Kluyveromyces lactis: one gene and its partners. The protein of the gene in region 2 purifies or fractionates together with the protein of the main gene of each other region. This does not show direct contact. Links are inferred from orthologs where the notes say so. Each region holds a gene or a part of one and is shown on either strand. Other genes may lie near its edges.

Evidence for each region.
Region 1: the proteins of SLD5 (region 2) and POB3 purify together in Saccharomyces cerevisiae (affinity purification with western blotting; 6 studies listed by BioGRID, with this or other methods). This does not show direct contact. The link is inferred for Kluyveromyces lactis from reciprocal best matches to the Saccharomyces cerevisiae genes SLD5 and POB3.
Region 3: the proteins of SLD5 (region 2) and SPT16 purify together in Saccharomyces cerevisiae (affinity purification with western blotting; 3 studies listed by BioGRID, with this or other methods). This does not show direct contact. The link is inferred for Kluyveromyces lactis from reciprocal best matches to the Saccharomyces cerevisiae genes SLD5 and SPT16.
Region 4: the proteins of SLD5 (region 2) and MCM10 purify together in Saccharomyces cerevisiae (affinity purification with mass spectrometry; 3 studies listed by BioGRID, with this or other methods). This does not show direct contact. The link is inferred for Kluyveromyces lactis from reciprocal best matches to the Saccharomyces cerevisiae genes SLD5 and MCM10.
Region 5: the proteins of SLD5 (region 2) and MRC1 purify together in Saccharomyces cerevisiae (affinity purification with western blotting; 3 studies listed by BioGRID, with this or other methods). This does not show direct contact. The link is inferred for Kluyveromyces lactis from reciprocal best matches to the Saccharomyces cerevisiae genes SLD5 and MRC1.
Region 6: the proteins of SLD5 (region 2) and POL2 purify together in Saccharomyces cerevisiae (affinity purification with western blotting; 5 studies listed by BioGRID, with this or other methods). This does not show direct contact. The link is inferred for Kluyveromyces lactis from reciprocal best matches to the Saccharomyces cerevisiae genes SLD5 and POL2.
Region 7: the proteins of SLD5 (region 2) and POL1 purify together in Saccharomyces cerevisiae (affinity purification with western blotting; 9 studies listed by BioGRID). This does not show direct contact. The link is inferred for Kluyveromyces lactis from reciprocal best matches to the Saccharomyces cerevisiae genes SLD5 and POL1.

What each region holds. Positions count from the first base shown.
Region 1 is NC_006038.1:444,575-448,726, reverse strand, and holds POB3 (FACT complex subunit POB3), read right to left. Parts: upstream 2,596-4,152; coding exon 928-2,595; downstream 1-927. Other genes in the region: DAK1 (dihydroxyacetone kinase), read right to left, coding at 3,038-4,152. UniProt on the Saccharomyces cerevisiae protein: Component of the FACT complex, a general chromatin factor that acts to reorganize nucleosomes. The FACT complex is involved in multiple processes that require DNA as a template such as mRNA elongation, DNA replication and DNA repair.
Region 2 is NC_006042.1:1,023,403-1,026,680, reverse strand, and holds SLD5 (DNA replication protein SLD5), read right to left. Parts: upstream 1,704-3,278; coding exon 825-1,703; downstream 1-824. Other genes in the region: serine/threonine/tyrosine protein kinase RAD53, read left to right, coding at 1-552; PAC11 (dynein intermediate chain), read left to right, coding at 2,015-3,278. UniProt on the Saccharomyces cerevisiae protein: Required for DNA replication. Functions as part of the GINS complex which plays an essential role in the initiation of DNA replication by binding to DNA replication origins and facilitating the assembly of the DNA replication machinery.
Region 3 is NC_006042.1:906,592-911,212, forward strand, and holds SPT16 (chromatin-remodeling protein SPT16), read left to right. Parts: upstream 1-1,386; coding exon 1,387-4,488; downstream 4,489-4,621. Other genes in the region: KLLA0_F09867g (uncharacterized protein), read right to left, coding at 50-1,159. UniProt on the Saccharomyces cerevisiae protein: Component of the FACT complex, a general chromatin factor that acts to reorganize nucleosomes. The FACT complex is involved in multiple processes that require DNA as a template such as mRNA elongation, DNA replication and DNA repair.
Region 4 is NC_006037.1:50,404-54,658, forward strand, and holds MCM10 (Mcm10p), read right to left. Parts: upstream 2,679-4,255; coding exon 2,591-2,678; intron 2,508-2,590; coding exon 862-2,507; downstream 1-861. Other genes in the region: KLLA0_A00550g (uncharacterized protein), read left to right, coding at 1-838; MLP2 (Mlp2p), read right to left, coding at 2,901-4,255. UniProt on the Saccharomyces cerevisiae protein: Required for DNA synthesis. Required for entry into or completion of S phase. Involved in DNA replication and seems to participate in the activation of the pre-replication complex (pre-RC) and in transcription elongation.
Region 5 is NC_006039.1:35,163-39,919, forward strand, and holds MRC1 (chromatin-modulating protein MRC1), read right to left. Parts: upstream 3,013-4,757; coding exon 235-3,012; downstream 1-234. Other genes in the region: VAC17 (Vac17p), read left to right, coding at 1-168; ribosome biosynthesis protein KRR1, read right to left, coding at 3,422-4,414. UniProt on the Saccharomyces cerevisiae protein: Required for normal DNA replication. Phosphorylated in response to DNA replication stress. Phosphorylation allows it to mediate the activation of RAD53.
Region 6 is NC_006039.1:231,861-236,741, forward strand, and holds the end of POL2 (DNA polymerase epsilon catalytic subunit), read left to right. Parts: coding exon 1-3,971; downstream 3,972-4,881. Other genes in the region: ORC5 (origin recognition complex subunit 5), read left to right, coding at 4,182-4,881. UniProt on the Saccharomyces cerevisiae protein: Catalytic component of the DNA polymerase epsilon complex which participates in chromosomal DNA replication.
Region 7 is NC_006039.1:1,128,488-1,133,304, forward strand, and holds the start of POL1 (DNA-directed DNA polymerase alpha catalytic subunit POL1), read left to right. Parts: upstream 1-1,841; coding exon 1,842-4,817. Other genes in the region: MET4 (Met4p), read left to right, coding at 1-381; SNAP receptor VAM3, read right to left, coding at 533-1,321. UniProt on the Saccharomyces cerevisiae protein: Catalytic component of DNA polymerase alpha, which in complex with DNA primase (DNA polymerase alpha:primase) constitutes a replicative polymerase. POL1 has a role in promoting telomere replication during interaction with CDC13.

The DNA of each region.
Region 1 (4,152 bases), on a different chromosome or scaffold from region 2:
TGAGCATTCAGGACATCATACATTTTCAATTCTTTCCTCATCAATCATAGTATGATAAAATTCCTTCAGGCTTTCTCCACACAACAAGGCTTAGTACAGGGAAGTTTTACCATTTTAGAACCTTTTCTCTATTCAATACAAATGCAACAGTTGAAGTTCGGTCATTTCATACAACGAGATCCCTGCTCACCTTTGATGTTCAGAGAAGTATCTCACTGGTTAGCATCATGACTGGTATAGATGTTTTCTTCGCTGGTCAAAGTCGAAAGAGCAGCATGTGACAACTATCAGGAATAATTTAAACCAATGGAATTTTGTCTTCAACACACGTTTTACCAAACTCGCTTGCCATGTATTTATCTATATTTGTCATGTCATCCTGAGTCATTCATGCTGAGTTCAAAGTCAATTCCGACCCTTCATTGTCGTTTAGCTATGAATCTTTTCTTATAGTGAAAAAGAAACTATTCCCGGACAATTCGTCAACTCCAGGAATCTCTATGATATATTCTATAGTTAAGGTACCGTCTGTAGCTATCATACTAATATCTAATATACCTCGAATGTATGAAGCGAGTTATCTTGGATCAAAATTTCTTTGTGCATTCATTTCATCATTCTAGTTCTTGATTTAAGGATCTTTCACCAGAAGTCATAGAATAACTCTTACAGAACCATTAAATGATTGAAGCATGAAAAAAGCAGTCGATACTTTTACGGGCTTAGCAAAATTATCCTTCTCTCAACCCTTTGAAGTTTAGTTCTCTGGATGGGACCCTTATTCTTTTGTCAAGCCATTTAGATGTACTAAAAATTAAAGAACTAGTCAATCAAACAAAAGAAAGACACATTATTCGACAAATACCGCGAGGAGTGTATATAGTTTTTTATTTATTTATTTGTACTAATACATGATATATGAGTTTTTCATTCCAACTTGGCTTTCTTGGAAGGTCTTTCAGACTTTGAGGTTTCACCTTCTGAATCGGAGGCGGATGCTTCTGAATCAAATTCTTCAGCGACATCGTCATCTTCGTCGGACGCATGGAAATCTTCATCTACAGATTCTTCATCCTCACCTGCAGAACCCATGTTAATATCTACATCATCATCATCGCTGTCTGAGCCGAAGGCAGTCTGCAGTCTCTGTTCTGCTTCCTTATCTTCGTTCTTTACCCTCAAGTTTTTGGACCTCAAGAATGTCTCTAGAAGTTGTTGTTCCTCTTTAGAAATATTAGCAAAAGTAGTAGTACCTCTATTGGCACGCATAACAACTTCCAAATCGAATGTTCTGGCTGATGTAGATGTCTGACCAGCTCTTGAAATATTGACCGCAGCAATATCTTGGAAGGGTATATATAGGGTTGGTTTCGTCAAGAACAAAAACGCATTGTCCAATGGGTATAAGTGGCCTTCATTGACTTTGTATGAACAGGATACCGCGCATTGGTCATACTTAGACTTGTATTCACCAGGAACAATGACTCTTCTTCCTGTCAAACCCTTTAAGACATGACTTAGTACAATGTGAGTTTTAGCATCGTATTGTTTCTTTAGTTTATCCTTGTAAAGCTTTTCGAACTCATCATCTTCCACATTTAGTTGGACTTCTGTTTCCTCGTCCTTCTGGAATTGTAACACCAAGAATGGGTAGGATGTCTGACCTTGACGGATTGGTGGATCAATCGATAAAACCATCAAGTAATGGATGTCGTCAGCTTTTGGCAAAGAGAAGATTCTGTTTATTTGACGATGTTGTAACTTGTACTCATAAGTCTTACCTCTAAGTCTGATAGAGTTTTTGTAGATATCAATGTCGTAACGGCCTCTTGGCGTAGTGAAGAACAGATCCTGGAAAGAAATGATGGCATCACCAGAAATTTCACCGATATCTGCCTTAGATCTCAATTCTTCGTAGAAATATTCTGCTAAAGTCTTCTCTTCTTGAACGTCTGGTTCTTCACTACCCTCTTCCGTCTTAACCTCCGACTTAACACCGTCTTCTGCTTCTGCTTCGTCCTTTACCATGATTTGATCTTGATCTTCATTTTCTTCAACTGTGCCTGGAACATATAACCTCATTTCAACAAGTTCATCACCTGCAGGATTATATGCCTCATTTTGGGTGTCAAATTCTAATGCAATCTCATTTTTTGCTGTTAAATTAGTGTTATTGATGTGCGTGTAAGGGATTTCAAAAGTTGGCTTACCGTTCAATGAAAAAACCATTTCGTTTCTAGCTAAGTCCAATTTACCCCAATTCCAACCACGTAAAGAATGTTCCCTGTGCTCTAATTGCATGTTGAATCTACGTTGGAAGTCATTCTTCAATAGGTTGAAATCCTCTTGTTGGAACCCATCCATTTGAATCAATCCCTTATTCTTAGTACTAATTTTCAATTCGTAGCCTCTACATCCTCTACTCCATTGAACGGAAGAAACCTCATCTGCAGCCAATAGCAAAGGTTCATTATTTTGAGTAGAGGCTGACCCACCTGTAGCGGATGCCTTCCAACCAAGACCTCCTTCAGCTAGACGGAAACGTCCACCGAGCTTGGATTGGTTGTAATAAATTCTATCGAAATCTGTACTCATTCTCCACTATCCCAATATAAGAAATAAAAAGTAGGTATCCAAGACGAAGATCACTAGATTTCAGTAATACTGACCTGTCTAACGTAAACTATGGGCTAACAACTCTGCCTACCGTTAACGGTTTCATATGTCTTCTTATTTGTTCATGTTTTAACAACATCTTAAACACTTTGGCGATTTTTCATTTTCATTTCTAGTAAAGTTTCCAATTCGCGTCACGTTGACAAGAGGTAAGATGGGGGAGTGAACGGAAAAGAGACAGTTTTTACACACGAAGAACTATCAGGTCGAGGCCCACCCCCCTGTTGCCGGAGGAACAATGTATGATACTGCAATTACCGCTAGGTCATAAATTTGGTTAATGTAGGAAGCTGTATATAGTTTGTTATAAAATAATAACTAGGTGGAAAGAATAAAGGAGGCAGCTCATTTGAAAATGAATCTACAATTTGGAATCAACACCCCTGAGGAATTCGACCAAACCGATAGCTCCTGGGTCCGGAATTGCTTCAGTGTCTTCCACGTAAGATGCACGGCCGAACTTGGCTTCTAAGTTTCCTGTAGATTCTGCACCTCCTTCCGCCTTGGAAAAGGCCTTATGGAAGTCCTGAGTTGAACTAAACTCTTTCACGAATGGCTCCAAGGCATCGATCATAGTAGAATCACCTGGCCTAGCTCTAGTATATTTACACAATGTCTCGTATGCAACTTCTAGCGATTTGGCGAAGGCTTCTTTGTCCACCGCATCATTTTCTCCGCATTGTTCAATAATTCCTTTTGAAAGGCCCGAAATGAATATAGAGTACAAACCACCGGATGTACCACCCATTGCGGATTCAATATGATCAGAAATTTCTGCAAGGGTCTGAGACAAATACTTGGAGGATATTTTATCCAAGTTTTCAGTGATTGCCTTAGCGCCAGCTACTAACGTATAACCACAGTCACCGTCACCAACTTGGTTATCCAAATGTGTAATATGAGGTTCACTTTTAATCAATTGATCGGCACCTGCCTTCAACAGCTCCGATAATTTCTCGAAGTCGTATGTTCCAGCCTTTTTAACGTCAATAACATCCTCGAGAATACCCTCGTCATATGTAGGAGATTTACCCATTTCGACATCTTTTATTGGCCATGCTGGCGCCTCTGTATGGTCGTTTAATAAGTCAAGCACAGATTTTACTTCGCTGAACTCCTTCTTGATAGCTCCAGATGACTTTGACGCATTGAACAACGTGATACTGAATCCATTTCCATTGAAAGATGTCATTAAAGTTCCGCAAATACTTTGAACTGGAGTAATGTCATAATTCTTTTGTAAAAAAGATTTCGTGATATCAACGATGGCAGTTAAGATGAAGTTAGACACACCACCTAAATTGTTGACAAGGAGAACTACCTCGTCTTTTTTATCAAAAGATACAAAATGTCTGTCTTCATCCTCTGAATCAAGTAACTTGGGTAGCATATATTTCTCAATCAACTGCTCCAAAGGTGGAATGCTGTCCAAGACTTGAACACCTGGTTCATTATGGATACCCATACCGACTTCCA
Region 2 (3,278 bases):
CACGCTGTCGGTGACAGTATTTATGAATCTCCAGCTCAAGGTCTTGATGATGTATGGTATTGCCAAAGTGGTACTAACTCAAGCTATGTTAATGGAAAGAAAATCACTCCGGGCACAAAGATCTTACTTCATGATGGCGATGAAATCCAAATTATATGGGATAAAATCAATGATGTCACTGTTTCTTTCCAGCTTGAGTTCAATGATACCACTGGTTTGTTCCACGAGGGGAAGCTGGATACCAATGAGAAAACAAACAAGACACTTCTACATAAACAGACACAGGAGGAGTTAGCTTTAGTCCCTAAGTTTATGGAATTTATGAAGTCTAGATCATCACAACATGCCAAATCTAATATAAACCAGTCCTCTTCCAGTAACATAGATGCCAACTCGCAAAATATCGAGGAATTAGATTCTGTCGTTGAGATGAACTCGACTACAGGATTGAAAAGAATACATTCAGTGTCGTTATCTCAATCTCAACCGCAGACAACCAAAAGGGCTAAGCTTGCCCAAGCCCAGAAACCAGATATTGAAGGATTTCTCTGAGCTGATCATATGCTTGCCGGATGGGTTTTGCATACAGTAAATATGAAAAATAGGTACACTTTGAGTATGCTAGATAGACTTTTCAACGTTAATTGATGTAATACTAATACAAATTGGTTCAAAAGCACTATAGACCAGCAGTCAATAACACTAGGTAGAAAACATGCTGTGTTCGCAATAACATTGTTGAGAAATTATTGCTGGCAAACATTCGTTACAAACCTATATTTTTCGAAGAGTCATAGGTTCAGTAATACTGTTCAGAATTTTCATTATATTAAAACTACTCGTCCCTCAGTCATGAGATCTCGTATTACACTATAACGTATTACGTATACTGCCCCGATTAATAAGTAAATTTCTTCATTTAAATCTTCAATAATCACTGAGTAACAGTGTTTTCCATCATCATCGGTCGTTAATTTCGAATCAATACCACTTTCGTCAACTACCCCACCACAAACTAGTATAAATACAGTTTTATTCCAATCGGGTTCATCAATCATACTGATGGAACCCTCAGTATCGTTAACGGCTTGCAGTTCTTCTGGTAAGTGCTTAAGTACTGCGTTGTTAAACAGTTTTAGTAATATGTCAGAATGCTTCATATGGTACTTCACCTCTTCTTTGGACATCAATAAATCTAGTCTGCTGAGGCCCGCATTATTGGGTAGTTCGGATTGTTGTCTTAGGTAAATGCTGTATTTGTCAATTTTGCTTAACCGGCATCTGATGAAAGATCGAACTAGGAACTTCAATCTCTCAAGTTCTGCTTCCATGCATAAAAGTGGTAGCTTTGAATCGACAGTTAACTCTTGATTATCTTCTAAGTATCCCATTGATAGTGTTTCTATTAGTTCAATTCTTTCTTGAATCCTTATTAATGTCCTAGTCATGAGATGATGTGGATATGGAAGCAGCTCCGGACTCATACGTTCATTCTTCCAATGTGTAATTAGCTTTTGATAGTCGTCAATTTTGTTAAACTGTGTGGGAGCCACAGGGTCAACCGCCTTATCTGCTGGTCTTATCTGAGAGACATCATTGCCTTGAGTTCGATCGCTTTGGTCTGGGTATGAAGAAGCATTTTGTTCAACAGCTGTAGTGTCCCTATCCAGCTCAGCTAGAATGTCGTCAATATCAATGCTCATTGTACTAAAGAAATATGATCCTACCACCAGGACTCAAAGCGGAGGAAGTGTTCGGATAGTACACCGGGGTGGCTTTTATAATTGCTGTAAAGGTGTATTCAGACAAGAAGGACTTACTTGCAATGTGTTATCCTCCAACCTATTGTGAAATTCATCCAACTTACTGTAACATCGTATTTTTGATAATACTCAAATCTTATTTATCATCTTTTGTTTACGCTTAACAAATCCATACATGAAGCAAGATAAAACGCGTCAGTGAAGAAGCGCTCATCAGCAACACCAACCTCAGGGGGAATATACCCAGAAATATGGACAAGAATGAGCGCTTACAGTTGATGAAGCAGAAAATAGAGGCTCTTCAGCTGCAAAGGAAAAAAATTGATTCGAAACATGAAGAGATAGCAGATTGTACCCTTCCGTTCATTTCCCATATCACCAATTCCATAAATAACAACGAATCTGAAGTCAAGAAAGAAGTAAAAACTGTTGAGATCTCAGTGCAAACAGATGATGTAAATGAGTTTGAATTGAGCGCTGTTAAGGAGGCTGTGATAACATATGATATCGGAATACAGACAGATGAATATGACGGGAAACATGAAATTATGGAAGATGGACATCTACCTTCCCAAGATCTTATAGAACAGCAAGCATCGACTTCAGATATTACAGAGACCAAGGAGGATAAAGAAGTTGTTGAAAAGGATGTGTTTGATTTCGGAAATGTCGTTTCAGCGGAAGACTACGCAACGTTGAAGAAAGAAACATTTTCACTACAGGAGACTATAGAAGCGGCTGCGCTCAAGTCATCTTCTCATCAAATCGCTGGTGATGGGAAAATAAGCATGTATTTATCAATTTCACCAAAAGTTGCCATTGATTCAACTTCTGAAGCAAGGGTCATTTCCAGTGACGTCTTAGATAATTTACTGGTTACTGTGATTCATCTTGTAACCAAATACGTGAAAAGCTCTTTAGTTCAAATCACACACGTCTCTTCTGGTGAGGTACTTGATACAGTTTTATTCCAAGGTCAGAATGTTGTACGGAGCAAGTTTATTGATAATCCTAATTCTAAGATTACCTCCGTCGTTCTTTCTTGCTATACAGGAAAACTCATCTTATATGAACTGCGAACAGTCAAAATAAATAATAGCTTTCAGGTGGAAAGAAATATTGTTTCCACTAATTATCATCACTATCCGGTACTTTCAATTATAATTCCAAAATTCAATGACCATAGCATCCTGGCGGCCAGCACCAATGGCCAACTTAAGCTGATATCAACCTTAGATTTATCATTAAAAGAGGATGACGATGTCAAAATTATTCCTATCCCAAGGACGGACTTATCATATTCTACTGAACAGACTAAAAAAGATAACAAGTATTACCAACACCTATTGATAATGTCGCTTTATGACGAACTGAGCATAATTAGTATGCTACTGCTGCCATCTGATCCTTCTTCCATATATCTTGGTTGCGAGGATGGCTTTATTTACAAAGTGTGTCAATTACCTCTAAAAGGTGATAACAAAGGGTGTTACAAAATTAGTGAAGGAAACAATG
Region 3 (4,621 bases), about 120 kb from region 2:
TGAGATGCAATGCATATAACAAATTCCGTCGAAATTTCTTACTTCATATCTATTCTTTAGAAAGGTATTCTTTAGAAGTGTCTCGTAGTTTTGTCTTCTTGTCTTTCATGTAATTTATTACATTGTTAAATGTTATGGTCGTAATGCTTTTAATAAGTTCCTCGTATTCCTCGTTGATCTTGGTAACTGCTTCCGACTTTTCCTGCAATTCTATCTGGAATTGTTCATAAGTGAAAGGTTGCAACGATCGTTGGTATAAATTCGGATGGCGTTCACAAAGGTCGGCAAATAGATGAAGAGACTGCAAAAGAAGACTTGCTAATGTGAGGTGTAGAGAGTAATCCCCAAGACTTCTCTTATTAGATACCGACAGGTTGTACATTTCCGGATAAATAGTTATCACTTCGTTAATAATATCGATAGCATACGCTGAAAGGATATTGAGTCTTATGGCTAATCCATCCAAAGTTTCATCCCTAAGTGCTTCCTTTATCTTCTCTACTCCCTCAGTTAAATCACCTGCAAGAATTTGGTATGCAGAGAGTACAATAGGAAGTATTTGCACTTCTAACTCTTTAGCCCATCTGTTTATATTTCTTCTTGTAGCCAAAAGATCATCGGATGCCTTGGAAAACAATTCGTCATCATGCTCAAGACGTCTTCTTTCTGAGTCTATTCGCATGAAGGCGAATATAAATTCGCTGCTGATTTGCTCCGCAAAAGTAATTTCTCGCGACATAAAATGTGCAAATCCTAAATAAAACTTTCCAAGATCTATTACATCGTTCTTCCCATCATACATCACCAAAAAAGGATACTTCTTCCTCAATAATTCTGTTAGTTTCTCGCTATCCAGATGGTTAGCAGAACTTAAGTTGTTCCCACTCATTATTTTGGTACAAATAAACCAGTGAACCACCCCGATGTGATTATAGGCTTTGATGTTGATATACACCCAATAATGAAAAGTAAACGTGCACTTTCCACTGTTAACTTCTATTATAGTCATCCTCGGTTCAAAATACATTGGAAGCATCTTAGTATGGAATTGATCTCCAGTCACGTGAAGAGAATCAAATCCGTTTACAGTGATATATTCTCCCTTTAACCTGAATTTTTCAAAATTTAGTAAAAAAAAAACGCGACGCCAATAATGCATATATTATAGTTTTAAATTGAAGAGTAACATTAATAATTTTTGCAAACTATACCCATTGTTTAAGAGCTGGCAGGAAATTAAAGCAAAGGGACTCTTTGGTACTTTTATTGAAATAACCTGCAAAGCATTTCGTGGCTCGGTATTTCAAACTCATTGTTCTATTAGGCGTGGCAGTTGTCTTTTTTGGTTAGATATTGAGGACCCCATTGTGCTAATCTCAAGTAACAATGAGTGACGGAGGAATTGAAATTGATTTCCAAGCCTTTTATGATAGGTTTACAAAATTAGGGAAGGCATATTCTGGATTTGAAGGTTCTCCAAATAGTCTTCTCTTTGTACTTGGTTCGACTAATGAGGAAAACCCTTATCAAAAGACCACCATTTTGCATAATTGGTTGCTAGGGTATGAGTTTCCAGCTACATTGATTGCCTTTTTCAAGGATAAAGGTGTCATCATAACCAGCAGTGCTAAGGCGAAACATCTTTTGCCCGCTGTTACTAAGTTTGAAGGATCAGATTACAAACTTGAGATCTGGCAAAGAAATAACAAGGATGCAAATCACAATAAGAAATTGTTTGAGGACCTCATCAAGCTGTTATCAGAAAACGGTAATACTGTCGGTGTCCCAACGAAGGATTCATATCAAGGTAAGCTCATTCTTGAATGGAAACCGCTTTGGGAAGAAGCTAAAAAGACGCATTCTTTAAACGTAATCGATTGCTCTGCTGGTTTGTCTTCTACTTGGAAGGGCAAAGATGATAAGGAAAAGGCTTACCTTTCTGTATCCAGTAAGGGATCTGACAAATTCATGGATCTTATGTCAAATGAAATCGTCAATGCTGTTGACGAAGAACTAAAAATATCAAATTCTAAGTTGTCAGATAAAATTGAAAACAAGATAGATGATTCCAAGTTTTTGAAGAAACTTTCAAGTGATCTAAATCCTTTGTGTCCTACCGACGAGAAATTCGACGTTAATTTCCTTGATTGGGCCTATTCTCCAATTGTGCAATCAGGTTCTAAGTTCGACCTTAAGGTTTCTGCTCGTTCTAACAACGACTCACTTTTCGGAAAGGGTTCCATCCTAGCCTCATGCGGTATCAGATACAAGAATTACTGTTCCAATATCACCAGAACTTTTTTGATTGACCCGACAGATGAAATGACTGACAATTATGACTTTTTATTGATTTTGCAAGAGAAGATCATCGATGATTTATTAAAAGTAGAAGCTGATCCAACATCTATTTATGAAAAGACACTGGAATTCATCAAAGAAAAGAAACCGGAATTATTATCTCACTTTACTAAAAATGTTGGTTCTTTGATGGGGTTGGAATTTAGAGACTCTGCTGGTATGATCAATGCTAAACCAACCGCTCATAAAATTTCAGAGAATTGCTGTTACAATATTTCACTCGGATTTGGGAATTTAAAGGATAGTAAAACTGGTCAGGTATATGCTGTTCAATTAGCAGATACCGTTCAACTTTCTTCTGATGGAAAGCCATCCACTTTGACCAAGTACACAAAGGCTAGATCCCAAATCTCGTTTTACTTCAACAACGAAGAAGAGAACAAAGCTGCAACTGTTAAATCTGAAAAAAGCAAGCCTCCTGCTTTACCAAAACCTGATGGTACATCGAAGATTTTGAGATCTAAGCTACGTGGAGAAAGTCGTGCTGACGATGAAGAGAAAGAACAAATCCGCAAAGAGAACCAAAGAAAACTTCATGAAAGATTACAGAAGGAAGGTTTACTCAGATACAGTGATGCAGATGCAGTAGATGGCGATGAGAAGCCAAAGCATTTCTTCAAAAAGTACGAATCTTACGTTAGGGAAACTCAAATACCATCCAATGTACGTGATTTGAAGATTCATGTCGACTGGAAGAGTCAGACAATCATTCTACCAATCTATGGTAGACCTGTACCTTTTCATATCAATTCATACAAAAACGGTTCTAAAAATGAAGAAGGTGAATACACTTATCTCAGATTGAATTTCCATTCTCCTGGTGCTGGAGGTGTCGGTAAGAAAACTGAGGAGTTGCCGTATGAAGAGAACCCAGAGAATCAATTTGTTCGTTCTCTAACTTTAAGATCTAAGGATGGTGCTCGCATGAGCGATGTTTTCAAACAAATTACTGATCTTAAGAAGGAATCTACCAAACGTGAACAGGAAAGAAAAGCTTTGGCTGATGTTGTTGTCCAGGCTAAATTGGTGGAGAACAAAACTGGTAGGACTAAACGTTTGGACCAAATCTTTGTCAGGCCTAGTCCCGATACCAAGCGTGTGCCAGGTACGGTGTTCATTCATGAAAATGGTATCAGATACCAGTCTCCATTGAGGACAGATTCAAGAATTGATATCCTATTCTCAAACATCAAGAATCTATTCTTCCAATCATCAAAGGGAGAACTTATTGTGATCATTCATGTTCATCTAAAGAATCCTATTTTAATGGGTAAAAAGAAGATCCAAGATATTCAATTTTACAGAGAAGCATCTGATATGGCTGTCGATGAGACAGGAAACAGCAGACGCAACAACATGAAATTTAGAAGATATGGTGATGAAGATGAATTAGAACAAGAACAAGAAGAAAGAAGAAAACGTGCTGCCCTTGATAAAGAATTTAGATATTTTGCTGAAGCTATAGCAGAGGCATCCGATGGTCTCCTAGATGTAGATTCTCCATTTAGAGATCTTGGTTTCCAAGGTGTTCCTTCTAGATCAGCCGTGTTCTGTATGCCAACGAGAGACTGCTTAATTCAATTAGTTGAACCGCCATTTTTAGTCATAAATTTGAACGAAGTTGAGATTTGTATACTTGAAAGAGTTCAATTTGGATTGAAGAACTTTGACATGGTCTTTGTTTATAAAGATTTGACAAAGCCTGTTTCTCATATAAACACTGTACCAATTGAGCAACTTGAATTCATTAAGACATGGTTAACAGATGTTGATATTCCATATACTGTTTCTACAATTAACTTGAACTGGTCGACAATCATGAAGTCGCTACAAGATGATCCTCATCAATTCTTTTTGGATGGTGGGTGGTCGTTCTTGGCAACTGGATCCGATGATGAAAGATCTGATGAGAGCGAGGAAGAAATTTCAGAATACGAGGCATCTGATGAGGATCCATCTGATGAGGAAGTGTACTCTGAAGAAGAAGAGGATTATTCGGATGACGAAAAATTCAGTGATGAAGGGTCAGATGATTTCGCCGATGGATCAGAAGATGACGAAGGTGATGACTGGGATGACTTAGAAAAGAAAGCAGCTAAGGCAGATCGTAATAGCAATTACAAAGAGTAAGATTTTTCTGTCTCTGGATAGTTTATCGTTATTTTGGGTTGTATTTTTATAAGCACATAATGTAGGCACTTTAAAATCTTTTTTATTGAAATAGTTGGTTATTCTGGTTGGTTTATTTATCTCAACGTAATTG
Region 4 (4,255 bases), on a different chromosome or scaffold from region 2:
CAAGTCATCTGTCATAGAACTGGCCTCGAGCATTGACAGCACTAGACAGTACACTGTTCTCTTTCTTTCTGGTGATACATCGATATCAGAATTCGTTAATAACCTGCCCTTGAACCACGACTGTATTTCAGTGCTTCCATTCCCAATGGGTACAGGAAATGCATGGGCAAGCTCTTTGAAGTTGATGGATCCAGCTGTCATATTCTCACAATTTGTCAATGGTAAGTTGTCCTGCAACGATTTCCCGTTGTATAGGGCAACTTTTGACAACGGTTATGTCCTTAAATTCTTCATAATTTTGTCACTGGGATTTCATGCAAATTTACTTCATCTCTGCGAAGAAGATGAGTACCAGAAAATGGGCATTGAAAGGTTTAGAGTTGCTAGCCAGCGAATTTTAAGAGAATACAAGCTCGAATCTCGCGTCTCTATTCCCGATATTCTGGAAGGATCTTTTAGTTATTTTGCGTTAATAAATACCACAAATCTGGAGCCAACTTATATGCCATCTCCCGATTCTGATCCATTGGAATCACAACTACATGTATTGGCATACCAGTCTTCTCTGGATAGAGTAGAATTCCAGAAAAGGGTATTTATGGGTTATTCAAATACGAAGCATTCAAACATCTTACAGAATGGAACGTTTTACAGACCACTGCCATTTTGTTTTAACGTCGAAGTACTAGACGATCCGTCACAAAAGAGCAACTTTGAAGTTTGCTGTGATGGGCAACTTCTTAACTTACTAGAGTTAGAGGGAAAGAATACTCCACCATCCACGATAAGAATTGAGACTTGTACGGAGCCATCATTAAAAGTACTACATTCTTTATAATATATTAAACCTTACATTATTGTCTATATAATTTCCAAATCATCACTTGAGCCTTCATCTTTATCGAGCCGCTCTTGGCTGCCTTTCATTATTTCATTGAAGATAGCGTTTCTCTTTTCAATTTTCTCTTTCAATTGTTTCTTCGAAGGTTTCAGGCTAACATTATCTTTCTTTATATTGCAAATATCCGTTATCGCCAGCTGTTTATCATTCTTTGGCGCCTTATTCTCTGTAGAATATTCAAGCATCTCTAAAGACGCTTTCCCTTTTGTTGGGTCATAACCAATTTGGTTCGCTAAACCATGTTGGAACATGCTCAACGTCGCAGTCTTTTTTGCTTCTTGATTGACTCGGTCTTCCTTCTTTGACAACAATTTGTCGGATAGACCCTTTAACTTTTTCTCCAAGTTTCGATTGTTTCTGAGTTCTTGAATTTTGCGTCTTTTGTTATCAAGGTTGGCCAGTATGTCAGGATTTTCGTAGTCGTCATCGAAAAACGCGGTAGAGGCATTTGCAGAACTGAAGAGGAATCTGTTGGTCTCTGCAGCTGCCGGTTCTCGTACAAACGGTTTATCAGGATTTTGTTGATATCTTATGGATGTTTTACCATTATTGTGTTGTGATTTTACAATAGTCTGTTGATATCCTTTGACAACTGGCGCTCTCATTGCCACAGAGCTACTAATTTCAACTCTTCTAGAACTGTTTTGCCTCATTTTTGCCTCTTTATGATATGCACAGTAGTTATCATGCAATTTGTTTATTGGCGCACCACATAGCTTGCCTTTGTTCTTCATGTAAAATTGGCACAATCCGAATTCCTTACTGTGACCTAGTTCCAGTATATTATTGGTGTCTTTACTAACTTTTAACGAAAATGTAGCGTAACTAGGGCTTGCTCCCGCTTCCAGTTTCTTGGAAGGCATTATTTCAGGGTTAAGTATAGCAATCAAATCACCTAATCTTAGTTTGTAATACTTTTCAACTATACTTTTCCCAAAGAAAATAACATTCAGTTCAAATTGGAAATCACTTATGGTTAGGCTGAAGAATTTCACCGGTTTCACAGAATTTGTCATTCTTGGTTCAGTTTTCTTTGAGATGATACCCAATACCAACCAATTGGGATAATCAGGTTCAGAGAACTTAGGGGCTCTCACCTTACTGAAGAGCTTTGGAAGTCGAAGCACTTTTATGTTTTTAGTATGTTTCCTAAGTACGGCCAACGGTACATACCTTCTGTCTATAACCAGACCACTCAAATCATCTTTTTCATCAACAGTAATTGGTTCATATTCATCGAACATGTCGCCATTGAATGTGTAAACTCGATGTGCCAATAATTCTTTCTTCCTTTTAATCGCTTCATGTTCATTTGTATTGATGGAGCGAAGTTTTTCAGTAAAGTAAGAAGTGGTACCCAACTTTTTGACCTTTTCCCTTACATAATCCTCATTAACATTAAATGTAGCTTCCTCTATATCTGCTACTGGCGCAATATGTTTGATATCCTCTATTCCTTTTGTAGCATTATCTGATTTCTTAGGAGACTCTGGAACGTCGATAGAATCGAAATTAGGGTCTTTGAGGTTTCTCTTCTTCTCTAGTTCCAACAGCCGGTTAGTTAAATCTCGTTTCTCAGTGTCAATTTCAACAATTCTTCGTTTCACTTTGATTTAATGATTGGTTATAATATGTTAGTAGGATATTCTAATGTCATTGATCTCGGTAACCATTATTATTAGAACATACCTCTTTCGATTTCAGATTCATCATCAGATAATTCCTCGTACGGGTCGAACGCCGTAATTTCTCTCGGGTCAGTTAGATCATATGACATGATGCATCTTCACTGTTACCTATACTCGATAGCTTCTGTAACTATTCTCGTTCATTCTTTACTTGTGGGATGTCATTATTTTGTTTTCTCGTTTGAATATCTGTGGAAAGTAATACTAGTATTTTTTACATGTTGAAAACGAATGGTCAAATAATGATACATAATAGAAAAAAATTAAATAGAACTTCGGTAATATTAACAGCCATAAAATCGTCTGGAGAATCAGGCTTCCTGACCATCCTCAGTATCACTTTCAGGCTCTTTGTGACGTTTCTCAGGCTGTTCTGTTGCGGTGTCGTCTATGGGTCTCTTATTAGGAGAAATTTCTGACGTTGAGAAGGGACTAGTGAATGTTGAATGAGAGCCAAATACAGGGGCCTGGAATGCTGCACTCATATTAGAAGTGTCATTCTCTACAGGTTTAATTGTGGACTTTTGTTGTTCTAAATTCCTGATCTTGCTTTCCAAAAATTTCAATTTCAAGGAAACTTGCTGTTTCCCTTCTTCGAAAGATTTTTGTTTTATTTCTGCCAAATCTGCTTCAAATTGCTTACGCATGGAATCCTTAAGTGCATTCAATTCTGCACGATGCTTTTCTAGAGTAATGGCATCATTTCCGATCTCTCCTGCCAATTTTTGGGCCTTTTCGTTTACCTTTTCTTCAAAGGACTCTTCTAAAACAGCTTTTCTTGCCTCAACTATTTTATCAATCTTTTGTTGAGTAGGTAACCTGATCCGTTTCTTGAGGGCTTCTTCTGCTAATTTAATTTTTTCCAGAGTCTGCTTCTCATATTCTTTTTCCCATTCATTCTTCAAAGCATCGATGTCTATATCCAAGGTAGGCTGCGAAGGAGACTGGACAGTAGTCTTTTCGCACTCTTCACGAATTCTCTTTTCTCTTTCTTCAAACTGTTTCCGGAGCTCTTCCTCTCTGGAATTCCAAGCAGATTCTTTTTCTGCCTCAAACTTGCTCCTCAATTCTTTTTCTTTATCTTTTATTAATTGTTCTTTTTCAGCTTCAAATTCTGTTTTCAAATTATCCACTATTGACTTCGTGTCTTCGTTGATAACTGGCGTATGATGTTCAGCTACTATTTTTTGAGCGTTGGAGGCTTCGGCTTCAAGCTCCTGTATTTTACTATTTAACATTTCCACAGTCTCAGTCAACGATTTTATTTTTTCATCTGAATCTGCATTATTCTGTTCGGTCTTGGAAGCATTTTCCATTTGAACCTGAATAGAATGTAGATCTTCCTGCAATTTAGATAATTGAGAGTTAAAAGTCTGTTCCTTTGTTTCTGCTTCTTGCGTTACCACTTGTAATCTTTCTTCTAACTCTTTGCAAGCGGTCTTACATTTTCCTAAATCGGCCTCCACTTGAGATTTAGCTTCATTGATTTGGTTTATTTCTGATGATAAAGATTGTTCCTTTTCCTTGGAGGCATTCAATCTATCACGTGCTTGAAGCCTAATTCTTTGGAACTTCGATTCCCAGTCATCTTTCTCGGCAATGACGCTTTGCAAAGTATCCTTGGTAGTTTGCAGTTCATTTTTAACATCGTTAATTTCCTCCTTTA
Region 5 (4,757 bases), on a different chromosome or scaffold from region 2:
ATTGTGGAAAATCGACAACGGCATTCAAGCTCTAACAGTTACTCTACATCGATAGTAATAGGACCGAATGGCGCAAAGTTCATCCGTGGGCTAAATGACCCATTAGTAACTTGTACTGTTTCATATAATGAACTTCAAGAGGCATTGAACACTGAATTTAACTTCTGATATAATGATTATACAAATGTAATTTTAAGAGATTTTATAATGAAATTGACATATTAGTTGGATGGGTCAGGTGAAACTATCGGAATTGGAGTCAAACAAGCTAGATGTTGGTTTGCGTACCAACGGTGTGGATTTTCGGCCTTGGGGTGCCTTCAATTTTCTCTTTTTACCCAAGAAAGTGATGGCAGATCGAGAACCAGAGGCTACTCTATAAGATTTAGATATAGTAACAGTTTTGATCCCCGTTTTGAACTTGTCATTAACATCTGAGTTTGACGAAAAAGACTTTACGATGCTGGGCAATTTGAAGTCCAGAGATGTACCATCCACATCATCAAAGAAGGCGGAGTTTCTATTCCTTTGAGGGGAATCGAGAGATTTAATATTGCTTCGCTGTTTCAAAGATTCCAAATCCTCAGTTGCATCATGTGCTGCTTCAGTGACCTCAAATTCATTGATATCATCATCTTTTGCACTTAAAAACGATAATGAACTCTGAACAAACTCTTCTGATATGACAATTTTCTTCTTTCCCATCTCATCTCGAGTATTGCTGAATGATGTGACAGCAGGGATTGACTTTCTAGTTATATCTTCCACCATACTATCGAAAAAGGCTTTTGATTTTGAGTTATTGACTACACCGTCCACATTTTCTAGTAGCTTTTGTTTCATTATTTCTCTTCTTTTTTCCCTAAACTGTCGTAGTAACTCATCCTCATCATCGCTTAACTCAAGATCTAGTGCTCCTCGGCCACGTTTACGAAAGCCTCCGGTATTGATATCATGTAAGATTTTATTTATCATCCTTTCGTCCATTTCTTTGTTCTCTAAGGCTAACCTTTCTCTTATTGAAGCGGTATCAAACTTGCTTTTGGAAAAATCATCTATCATGGTATCCAAATCTGAGTCATAGTCATCTGAATTCTCTCCGTCAGCACCACCAACACCATGCCATTCATCCTCAGATTCTTCTGCTTCCATTTCCAATATTTTGTTGAGACCAGTTGATTTAAGTACTTGCTTCCGCTTTTTTGCTGCCTCTATTTCCATTCTTCGGCGCATTTTAGCCCTTTCTTGAAGCCTATTCCTTTCTACTTCGTCGAGCTCGTCCTCTGAGGAATCAGAGTCTACTGAGGAATCGGAACTTAACTCTCCCACCAATAATTTCGCTGAATGTGATCTGTTCATCTTCAGTTCTGAATTTGAAGGCACATTTCTGTCACTTTGATCAGCACCATCATTTTCCGTTACATTTGAGGAAGTTAAATTATCGCCATAATGCCCTAAATTGATGCCAATCGGCTCCTGGGTGACTTCATTATCATCACTTGACGAAGAACTCTCGTCATCATCTATTATAGGATTGTTGTTTTTATGGGCTGCCGATGTATCCGCGCTATCTTCGTCTGAACCAGTGGACCCGTGTAGCCCTAAATGCTGCTCGACATCACTATCTGATAAGCTTAAATCACTCTCCATCACATCGCTATCAGGGACATCGGATGCGCTACCAGAAGATGCAGCTTTACTCGTATCTTTTGATTTCTCTCTTTCTCTTTTTTCTCTTAGTTTAACTCTCCTATTCCTTTCAAGCTCTTGCTCTAGAAGCTTTTCAACTTGAATCTTTTCATCTTCAATCGCTTCAAGTGATATTCCTTTTTTACCGGATATTTCTCTTCTAAATTCAAGTATCTGGTCTCTGTTCTTTGTTTTCAAAGATGTAAACAATTCCTTCAAAGAGTCAACTGTAGAAACATGCATGTTCTTTGCTTTAGTAGCCTTATTCCTGGATCTCTTAGCTTTAATCAGCAATAATGCTGCCTTGGACGATTGTGATTTATAGTCATCTTCAGATTCGGACGAAGAGTTCAGTTCAATAACATTTTGTGGACTATTTTTCATAGTAATGGCAATAATCCCATTCATATTAGTAACAACACTCTTCTGTTTCGTGACTAACTCTTGAGTAGATGCCATATCTTTCAATTCATCAGCATCATTTTCCTCATCTGAAAGATCTTCTGCGTTGGATGACTCCGAATCATCAAAAGCTGCAATGAACTGTTCAGGGAGGTATTTCTTTCGGACAGCCTTTAATGGTGCTACAGGTAAATGTGGTTCTTCTATAGTATCTTTTATAAGAGGCACGGCTTTCTCCTTTTCAGCAACATCAAGTTGAGTAGCGACCACTTTTTGCTCATTCTCTATTTGAGTTCCATTTGGTTTAGTTGCCAGTAGTCCTTCATTGTTGTTTGTTGTCAACTTAAATGTAAACGAAGTATTTCGAAAGGAAGTTTCTTTACTGTGCAGCAATTTACTTTCGGTTGCAGCTTTATCAAGAGTGTGTTCATCTGGTGTAGTCTGTGTAATTTCCTCATTGTTCAATTGTGTGTCTAAATCTTGCTGTTGTCTATCAATGGTTCTGTTGGTGCCCTCCAGTGCCTGAGTATTTACTTGAGTCTTTGCCAGCCAAGATGAAGAGAATGTAGGAATTAATTGTGTCTGAGATATTGGATGTTTTTTCTGTTGGATTTCCACTTCACGCTGCTTTGGTACTGCAGCAGTTTCACGCATTGCCTCAAACTCATCGTCCAACTCTTTACCTTCATACAAATCGGTATCACTGTAGAAGAATGTGCTTTTTTTACTGTTATCAATTGCCGAAGCAGTGCTATCATCTGAATCTCCATTTAGTCTCTTTTTGACTCTTTCAAGCAGATTCTCTGCTAGAAACTTGTGCTCTCCCACGTTCAGCTCTTCATCTTCTGCATCGTTCGCTTTAGAATATGTTTTGCCTTTCTTTTTATGAATGCCAACGTTCAAATCATCTAGTAGGTCCATTCTGCACTTGATAATGTGCCGAAGTGTTTGCAAGGTGTTGAATTCCTTTAATAAAACGGTTATAATAATGCCTTACCTGGTAACATTATCGTGCTTATAAGATTGGGCTGCGAGCCTTAAATATTTACGCGTTTTCTCATTTTTCTTTTCAAAAAACCTTCTTGATCGTACGTACTATATTTTTGTCACACCGCAGGTTTTGACATAAGGAAAAGCAAGAACGTTGCTGGCATGAATGATAGTTAGTGAAAAGCGTATACGTGGTCCATAAATATAATCGTAAAGTGTCTACTGGGACGATTTTTGAACAAAGCAACTGGTTGAAACTTAACTTAAAACTATATTTCTTAATTTGAGTCATGAGAAAAGGATGGAAACGCGATTATATAATAAAATACTTACTAGCGCTTTAATCGGTACGCTGTCTTTTCCTGTCTCCTAAAGAGCTCTTTGTAGATTTTGAAATTGAGCTTTTGTAGTCGGTTTCTTTTGGTGCAATAAAATCCTTGGCTCTCTCGCTTTCCTTTTCAGCGTGTTTAGCGGCTTGTTGTTCCCTGCGCTCATGTAACTTTTTGACTTCCTTCTCCCTCTTGCTCAAGAAATACTCACCGGACTCAATCTCCAAATCAACCTTTCTAGGTAATTGTGCAGGTGGGAATGGTGTGTATATTTTCTTCTCCTTGATCTTCTTTGGTTTCTTTCTTGCAACATTTCTCTTCTTGAACATAGGTAAAAATCTAGACCAGTCTTCCTCGGCTAACTCAGGCTTCTTAGCAAGTTCTCTCTTTATCATGAGTTCTTTGATATGGTAAATAGGATGTACGTTTTTCATACAATCTTCGACGACACGGCGTACTTCCTTTAATCCTTTATATGGTCCCATTACTGAGACAGTATTACCTTGGACAAGAATATAACATTTTGTTAGAAGCTCCAAGGCTTTCAAAGTGTTACCATTAGGACCCACTAGTCTCTGCCTTCTTTTCACGAACCTTTCTTTATTAGAAACAAAGTTACCAATCTTTATAACATCACAGGCAACATCGTCTTCTAGGATTTTCACTGCTTGTGGGAATGGCACAGATCTGGCCAAAAGTTTAATCAAATCACGAGCCTTCAAGATTACTGCTGGATCATACGTTTTTCTTGTAGTCTTTACAGTCATAGAACCTTCAACTAAATTCAATTCGCATGCAATATGATGTGCATCGAGAGACCTCGTAACGTCTTTCCAAACTGATTTCAAGTACGCTTCTCTGTACTTTGGAAATAGAGTCATAAAACTGGATTCTTCAGCAAAAGGAAGGCCAGACTTGTTGTCCTCGGGTTTAAACTCCTCGATATTCCATTTGTCAACCTCGTCCGTATCCCAAGGCTTGTCTTTATTATGAGTAGAGACCATCTTTCAACTCACGACTAAATCAATATCTACCTCTTTTTCCGATACTTGTGAGTTCGCAAAATTGTCTGTTGGCCTTTAGTACGCTTCAAGCTAAACTAGGGTTTTATAAGCGGATACTGAAGACAATGTGGTGCAGTGAGGCCATGTCATCTCATCTCATCTCATCTCATCGCATCACTTATAATTCATTCGAAACTATTTTTTCCATTTTTATTTTTTTTCCTTTGCCAATTTCATTATCACTGCAATCTCGTGCAGTAGTAAACAAGAAACACAGACGGAGCATCATAATTTCTTTTTAACGAAGACGATGGTTCAAATCGTTGCTCAGTTTCTGAAATCG
Region 6 (4,881 bases), on a different chromosome or scaffold from region 2:
GTTTTCCGGAAAATTTTGAAATCAAGCTGCGCAACGGCAAGAAACTATTTCTTTCGTATCCTTGTTCGATGCTTAACTATAAAGTTCATCAAAAATACACTAATCATCAATATCAAGACCTCGTCGACCCTATGAAGTTCAAATACCAAACAAAAAGTGATAATTCCATTTTCTTTGAAGTCGATGGACCATATAAAGCAATGATACTGCCAACTTCCAAAGAAGAAGGTAAAGGTATCAAGAAGAGATATGCTGTGTTCAACGAAGATGGTTCATTGGCTGAACTAAAAGGTTTCGAACTAAAAAGAAGAGGTGAACTACAATTAATCAAAAATTTCCAGAGTGATATTTTCAAGTTATTCCTGGAAGGAACAACCTTAGAGTCATGTTACGCTGCAGTAGCAACAGTTGCTAATAGATGGCTTGATGTATTAGATTCTAAGGGTGCAATGCTCGAAACTGAAGATCTTATTGAACTGATTTGTGAGAATAAAAGTATGTCAAAAACATTAAAGGAGTATCAGGGACAAAAGTCAACTTCCATTACCACCGCAAGAAGGCTCGGTGAATTTTTGGGGGAAGCAATGGTTAAAGACGCAGGCTTACAGTGTAAGTTTATTATCAGTTCCAAACCACATAATGCACCGGTGACAGAAAGGGCTATTCCTGTTGCTATATTTTCTTCCGATCTTCATGTTAAGCGCACATTTTTAAGGAGATGGTTATTGGACTCAAGTCTCAATGACTTTGATCCAAGGGCTATTATCGATTGGGACTATTATAGAGAAAGATTGGCTTCTGTTGTTCAAAAAATTATCACAATACCGGCAGCATTACAAAACATTAAAAACCCTGTACCCCGTGTTGAACATCCTGATTGGTTAAGAAAGAAAATTGCTGTTAGTGAAGATAAATTCAAACAGACTTCCTTGAATCGTTTCTTCAAATCTACCAAAGCTCCACCTGAAGTCAAAGATATAGAAGACTCTTTTGATGAACATTCCGCGAATAAATCACGTATCGCTAAGGTCACGTACAAGAGAAAGAGCAAAAGACGTAATGGGGATACAGCACTAGAAGAAGAGTCTTTGCTGCTACCCTCTGAAATGCCTCCGATGTTAGATGATTATGTGGGCTGGTTACAATATCAAAAAACCAAATGGAAGATCCAGCATATTGATCGAAAGAAAAGAGAAAAGCTATTTGGTAAAACTTCACGAGCATCTGATCGGTCTGCTTTGGGCAATTTGATAAGAAAGCACGTTGAATCATATGCAGATAAAAGCTGGGAAATTTTACAATGTAAACCGTCCATCGATTTAGGTGTCGTAGAAATTTATGCTTTAATCGATAGGAAAATCCAATTGCTGAAAGTAAACATTCCCAAAACTGTACTCATGAACTTCAAGACGGAGAATTTCCCCTCGGGAGGGATTGAAAACTGTATCGTCGAAAAGTCCAACGCGGAACTGCCTAACGTGAAAGGCATCAACAATGAAAGCAGTAGTCAATTGTTTAAACTGACAATGTCAGAAGATACCTATTTCAACGAAGTTAATAAAGCATCAAGCGTATTGAACAACGAGAATGTTTTGGGAATATACGAGAGCTCAATTTCTTCGAATGAAAGAGTCATAATGCGGCTAGGGACGTGTATTCAATTCAGCTCTGAAAAAATGGGTGCGCTAGGAAAAGGTTTACAGAACGGTTTTCATATGAAGAATTTACATCCTGTTGAAGCAGATAGATATCTCCAAAGGTTTGACCTTGATATTGCCTACCTTCTACATTTTGTAACAGATATCGGCTATGAATTCTATTTCTTGTATAAAGCATGGGAAGATGTGGTAGAAATATTTGTGCTGAAACCAAGCACTCATGCTCAAGAAGTTTCTAATAAAGCTATAGAATCTCTTTACAACGAGATATACGAGAAAAAGTTCGAAAAGCTCGATAAATACTATGACTTAATCAAGATAAACAAGAACGTTTCGTTTAACGTGAATGATTATACTGAACTAAAGCGTTTACTGAAGGACCTTTCAAAGATGCTGCAAAATATTAAGGAAGAAAAAGGATCTCACACAATGGTGATTCTACAATCTCCATATACCCATAGAGTTGCTAAATTGTTGCAGCCTTTGAATGCCTTCCCTGTTGTTGAAATAGCTACTGCTGAAACACATTTGCCAGCTTTGAACTGGCAGGGACAATTAATGAGGAAAGCGGTCAATCACATATTGTCTCTTGGTTCTTGGATCTCAAATTTGATTACTCTCTCAAAATACAGCAACATTCCAATATGTAACCTCAAAGTCGATAATCTCGGATACATTATCGATTTGATGTACGCTCGCCAGTTGAAAAAGAACAACATCGTTCTATGGTGGAATGATAAATCGCCGTTGCCTGACCACGGTGGCGTTGAAAGAGATTTTGACCCACGGAAAGCGGAGCTCATGACTGATTTGGTGTTCCCTATTATGAATAACCCTGATATCTATGATGACGTTATCTTCGAAATTAGTGTCTATAACTCTGTTGTGAACACTGTTTTGAGCAGCACCATGTTGAACGAGGCTGAAGGTACAGACCTTGCCCAAAATTCGACATCTAAGGAAGAATCCTTCGGTTTTGTTGAAGATTCTTTCTCTTCTTCGGCCTTGTCAGTGCTTCGCGCACTGTTGAAAGAGCTTTGGGATGATGCCTTAGGTGATAATATCACGGCTGACTCATTAGTACACGCATTTATAGGATGGGTGTATAACCCTGACGCGAAATTATTCGATTATGCTTTGAGATATCACATCCATACTCTCACTCAAAAGGCCGTGTTACAGTTGATCAATGAATTTAAGCTGGCAGGATCATCTCTCATCTTCGCAGACAGAAACAAACTGTTAATCAAAACTCAGAAGCGTTCCGTTGAGAATTCTTACGCCTATGGGCAGTATCTCATGAAAGCGATCAGATCTAAACCAATGTTTGCCTATCTAGACTTGAAAATTGATAGATATTGGGATGTCCTGATTTGGATGGATAAGTATAATTATGGTGGTAGAGCATGTCTACAGATTGAAGATAAAGAAGTTCAGAGTTTCCAGGCTTATTCTCATTGGCATATAAAGGATTTCTTACCTGCAATTTATCAGCAAGAGTTTGATGATTGGTTAGTAGTCATACTGGATAGTATGGTTAAGACAAAGGAAGCCTATCATGAGCGAAATGCATCCACACAAAGATTAACCCAATTACCAAAGAATACACTGGCTGATAGTGACGTAGATAGTCAAACTGACTCTCTAGGCGGTTTTACCCATAATTTTTCAAAAGCTCTCATCAAAAGAGCAGAGAAACTTTACAAGAACCAACAGGAATATATTCTTGATCCTAACTTCGGCAAGGATTATCTATCTCCCACAATTCCTGGGTCGCATCTAGTTGTGAAAAATCCGCTTCTTGAGTTGGTCAAATACTTATCACATATTTTATCACTTTCCAGTAATCATTTATTAGAAGGAAGGGCGCTAAGGAAAGAACTCCTAAAGACATTTGAAATACGCGAATTCGACAGATTAGCTGAATTCAAGGATCCAAGTACATCTTTTGTGATCCCTAGCTTCATATGTGAGCATTGTTCTTATATATCAGATATTGATATTTGCAGAGAAAGTATGGAACGAGTCTTCATATGCCAGAGCTGCAACAGATCCTTGAATAAAAATCTCATTGAAGAGCATGTGATCGAACGACTTCAAGCCCAAGTTGCATCGTTTATTACCCAAGATGTTAAGTGCAATAAATGTCATAAGATCAAAGAGGATGCAATGTCACCTTATTGTCCATGTTCAGGAAAATGGGAACTTGCCGTATCTAAGGAATCTTTCATGGCACAGTTACAAATTTTCAAGAACTTGGCGGAAAGCTTTGACTTTAGAACATTGAAAGAAACTTTGAATGATTTCTTATAGGTTCAAGTCCCTGGCATCTGTTGTATTATCTTTTAGTCTGCTGATGTGTTTACATTTAACATTTATGAGTGTTTATGTGTTAAAATAGATCTGAAAATAAAAAATATATATACACATAAAGGAAATTGTTCTGAACTTAGCATGGTTGAATTCTTCCCACCTGAATGAAGACGCACTATGTGTTATTTACTGCGAATCAAGTGACCCAGAATGGTACGACCTGATGTTAGATATAGAGAAGAACAACTAGATTTTTTGGAAGCGTTTGTCGATGCCGATCCAAAACTGAGCCCGCCAATCTTGTTCATAGAAGGGCCGCATGGAAGTGGTAAGACACATACCCTCAAGAAGTTTTTTGCTTGCAATGAAGAAATCATGAACATTTTACTACCAGCGAAAGATCTGATATATAGCAAATCCACCTGTCAGCGGTTGGCTACATGTCTGCGTCAATTGCTACTGAAACAATTTCCTAGTGTGGAAACCACTGATCTTGATCCATTTGAAGCCGAGGACGTATATCTTTTGCAGAAATTTATCAATAAATTGTTTATCCGATTTAATCACTTGGTAGAACGCGTTAACCTTTATGTTATACTCGATGGGCTGGATGATAATTCACAGGTGAACTTGGAAACACCTACGCAACTCATGGCATTACCTGGATCTATTCTTCCACAAGCGATGATTCAACTTCGGTTAATAATCTCGTTCTCCAAATCCTCATTCTTGTCCAATTACTCAACGTTCAAGGTTCCCACGATCTTCTTCCCCAAATATAAACCACTGGAGATTGAATATATTGTATCACAAACACCAGGTTTCTCGGATGACCCGCTGTTATTGGAAAAAATGGATGAGATAGGATGCGGAAATACAGAACAATTCAGGAGTGAAATCTTCGAAAAAT
Region 7 (4,817 bases), on a different chromosome or scaffold from region 2:
GAACTTCTCAATGACAAGGAAAATGCTGCTAAGAGTCTCGATGAGAAGATAAACGAAAAAAAGCATAATACTGATTCTGATAAAAACAATTCCTCCAGTGATGGTGTAGAATCGTCGTCCACTTCCTCAACCCTTTCTTCAAGACCCAAACTGCCGAACTTGGATCAAACTAAAAAACTTAAAGAGAAAGAAATGGAAACTTGGGTCCAAGATCTTTCACAGTTAGCTTGTGACTTGAAGCAAAGAATCAATACCCTTGAAATGGAAAACAGACTTCTCAAAAATCTTGTCATTGAACGTGGAGATCTCAAGAATGTTGAGTCTTATGAACTATCCAAAAATAACTCCTCCGAAAGCACTAAAAAGGATACTGACAAGTAAGCTATGATTAATAATTAGTTGTAACCTCTAAGTCGGACATATTTACCTGATGATGCGTGTTCTCTAAAACGTAACGTAACTTTCATCCAAGTATAAGGCCAGAGATAAATTTTGTATTAATATATAGTTACATTCCTCGTAGAATCTAACCCTATGATAGAATCGCGATAAGAGTTATTAGAGTGATAACAACAATAGCTACTAGAAGTATTGTACCACATCTGTTCTTTTTCCTTTGATATTCATTTGCTTTGTGAAGTTCTTTGTTCGCCTTTTGCAAATTATTAGATAATCCTGTCACATTTTCGCCAATTGTGTCAACTTGTTCGCCCTGTTCCTGTACCAGACTTCCTAGTTGTTTGAAGATGGCATTGACCTCTTGCACAGCAGAGTGGATTTTTGATATGTCCTGGGATCTTTCATGTTGAATTATCGTGTGAAAATCTAACTCATCCTGATTCAACAAAGGCTCTTGCTGTTGGGTAGACAAAAGTAACGGAGTATCCTCTGAAGAATGATCCCTCCTCTCGATATCGTCTTGTATTGGCATGCTTTCATATTGCGATACGAGATGTTCCGATTCATTATCTTTACTCTCTTCGTCAGGTATGGGATTCTGTACTGCCCTATTCTCATAATCGGTCTTTACACTGTTATATTGTTTGCTTAACGCTTGAAAATCTCGAGCAAATTTATCTTGTGTATCTAGCGAAGTTAAGTCAGCCAGTTTTCGACTAATTTTCTGGATTTCGGGGATTACTCTATTTTTTATATCAACCCTCAATAGTTGTCCGTCCTTGCTTGTCCCTATTAGATGAGCTTTACGCTTGAGTAATTGAATATTCTGTTCTAGTGTTATCAACAAAGGCACCGCATCGTTTCCACTAGAATCTGCACGATTGTCCTCCTTTTTTGGAGTACTATTTTGATAAAAGGACATCAGATGTAACGCGATTATCTTTACGGGTCCTGCTATCAGCTGTTTCCTTAACAGTTATCCTTCCCTTCAGTTAATGATCACAAACCTCAATTTGAGCACTTTAAAATTGAGGACAGTCTTAAACCACAGGTCATGTGATCCATTTTTCTTTCCAAGCCAACGCCAATTGGTTCAACTAATGGAAATTCGTATCATAATATTGAGGAGCGCACACTCTCTAACACTTCAGCGGCTTCACCGTTTAACCACTCAAGTGTTGTCGGTATTCTACTGTCACTCAATCTTTCGCTCGCTTTTCTTCTCATGCACTCTCGCTTTGTCTCAGCGTTGGTGCCATTAAGTTCATAGATTTCGAACGCGTGCTTTGCAGATAGATACAACTTTAAAAAAAAAAAGAACGCGTAAAAGTAAGAACATCTTCATCATCTTCTTCTTGCAACTCAAACCAGGAAAGACAACAAAACTAAATTACTAGGGTAGTTCGTACTGCCACCCTACACTATTAAAACACTAGCTCGGGATGAGTAATGCGAACAAACTTGAACTGCTCAAAAAATTGCAGAAAGCTAGGAATAATAAATCGAATAGGGATGTGCTAGATGAACAACTGGAAGAAGAAAATGTGTATGACTTGATTGACGAGGATCAATATAGGAGTAAGAAAAGACAAGAGTTGTTAAGAGATGATTTTGTTGAAGATGATGATGGCAGTGGATATGTGGATCGTGGTGTAGATGAATGGGATCAAAGTCAGGAGTTCTACTCTGATGAAGACGATGGTGTTGATGCAAAGTCAGGCAAAAAGCGTAATAAGACCAGTAAGAATAACAAAGGTAAGGATACCATCAGCGATATCATAAAGCAACAAAATGTCAAGAGAAAAATGACAATGCCAACAGAAAAACCTAAGAAAGTGTCACTTGCTGAATTTGATGATATTTTGAGTGAATTTGACGCAGAGCCTCTGGTTAAGAAGCCGAAGCTAACGATATCCAGAAAACAACCTGCAAATACTACGCCTATGAACTATAAACACCCTCAGGTAGATACATCCCCACTTAAAGGTAAAGATGTTGTACCTTTTAAAGCTGATAGCGTTAATCCTATCGATTGTGATTCAATGGAAGAGGACCACGATATTGAATCATTATTAAACGATGTGGCTAGTTCTCCTTCAATGAGCAAGCAGAAGACATATCAAAGCGAAGATGACAGTGAAGATGACGAAGATGATATTCACTTTGGTAGAAAAAAATTCAAATCAATAGCTACTCAAAGGCAGATGAATATCAGCGCTCAAACAGCACCATTAACGTCTTCGCCAACATATGTCACTGCTCCTAACACCCCATTGTCAACTTCTACAGGGTCCACACAAGCAACAGAATCAATTTCCGGATCACTGAGACAAAGAATACCTAAAGAGGATGTAGTAGACGCTGAGACCGGTAGTTTTAACTTTTTTTGGACTGATTTTACCGAAGTCAACTCTTCTTTGATTCTCTTTGGTAAAGTTAAAACGAGAAAGAATCAAGTAGTCTCTGCAATGGCGCAAATCAATGGTTTCAATAGAGAGCTGTATTTTCTACCTAAGGAGGGTAAAACAGCGTCTGATGTCCACCAAGAAATTGTACCTCTATTATTGGATAAATATGGCTTACAATCACTTCGCGCTAAGCCTGAAACGAAAAAGTATGCCTTTGAACTTCCAGGAATACCACACGAAGCGGAGTATTTGAAGGTTTTGTTACCTTATGATACTCCTAAATGCAAGTCAATTACTATTCCCGCTGAACTTGAGGGAGATACATTCAGTCACGTCTTCGGTGGTAACCAAAACCTTTTTGAGAGTTTTGTTGTCCAAAGGAAAATCATGGGCCCTTGCTGGCTTAAGATATCAGATGGCGATTTTGATGCAGTTCAAGGCGCTTCGCATTGTGCTATTGAGGTTCAAATTGATTCACCTAATCATATCTCAGCAACGAATGAAAAATCATCTCCGAGCTTGAACTGTATATCATTGTCTATTCAGACCGTCATGAATGCAAAAGAAAACAAGCAGGAAATTGTTGCTATAAGTATGGCTGTCTTCAAAAATTTATCTCAAGATTCATCAATTCCACAAAATCTCAAACCAAATGAAATAGTGACACTAGTAAGGCCTCCACAAGGATCAACTTTTCCACCTCTTCTGGGACCTAAATCAAAGAAAGAATTATCCGGAAATGTGCGTCTCTTCAATAACGAAAAGACGTTATTAAACTGTTTCTGTGCTCTCTTGAAGGTAAATGATCCTGATGTTATAATAGGACATAGATTGGAAGGTGTCATCTTGGATGTTCTGGCACACAGAGCTTATGAGTTAAATATTCCTCAATTTAGTGTCTTTGGGAGAAGACTGCGGAAAGCATGGCCAGACAAGTTTGGAAAACATAATAATAGTATGACACAGTTCATAGTTAGGGATTTATTTGCAGGTAGGTTGTTATGTGACATTTCCAATGAAATGGGTCAGTCACTAACTCCAAAATGTCAAAATTGGGAACTAAACGAAATGTATCAAGTTTCCTGCGGTATTGAAAGAAAATCTCTCGAAATTAATTACCTAAACCCAATATATCAGGAAGATGAATCCCAGATGCTTCTAGCGCTAGGCGAAAACATCGAAAACTCCATTATAACAGCAGAAGTTGCATTCCGCATTCAAATTCTCTCTTTAACCAAACAACTGACTAATTTAGCAGGCAATGGATGGAGACAGACTTTGGGTGGTACAAGAGCTGGTAGAAATGAATATATTTTGCTTCATGAATTTAACAGAAATGATTACATTGTTCCTGATAAAGAAACAAGGCAAATGAAGCAAGACAGACAACAAAAGAATGAAGATCCTATGGAGCCACAAGTGTCCAGTAAAAAATCAAAATATCAGGGTGGGTTGGTCTTTGAACCAGAAAAAGGTTTGCATAAAAACTATATCTTGGTCATGGATTTCAATTCGTTGTACCCATCTATCATTCAAGAGTTTAATATTTGCTTCACTACTGTTGACAGGAATCCACAGGATAATGAAGAACTTCCAGATGTGCCTTCAAGAGAAAAATCACGAGGTGTACTGCCAAGATTATTGGCCAACCTGGTCCAAAGACGTAGAGAAGTGAAAAATCTAATGAAGACTGAAAATGACGCAAGTAAAAAAGCCCAATATGATATCAGGCAGCAAGCTTTGAAGCTTACGGCAAATTCTATGTATGGTTGTTTGGGTTATGTGAACAGTAGATTTTATGCTAAACCGTTAGCAATGTTAGTTACAAATAAGGGGAGAGAAATTCTCATGAACACAAGACAATTAGCGGAGAGTCTGGGTCTAACAGTTGTGTACGGTGATACCGATTCGGTCATGATCAGTACTGGCTGTGACAATTACATGGATGCAATCAAAATTGGTGAAAACTTTAAAAAGCTGGTGAATGAAAGATACAGTTTGCTTGAAATA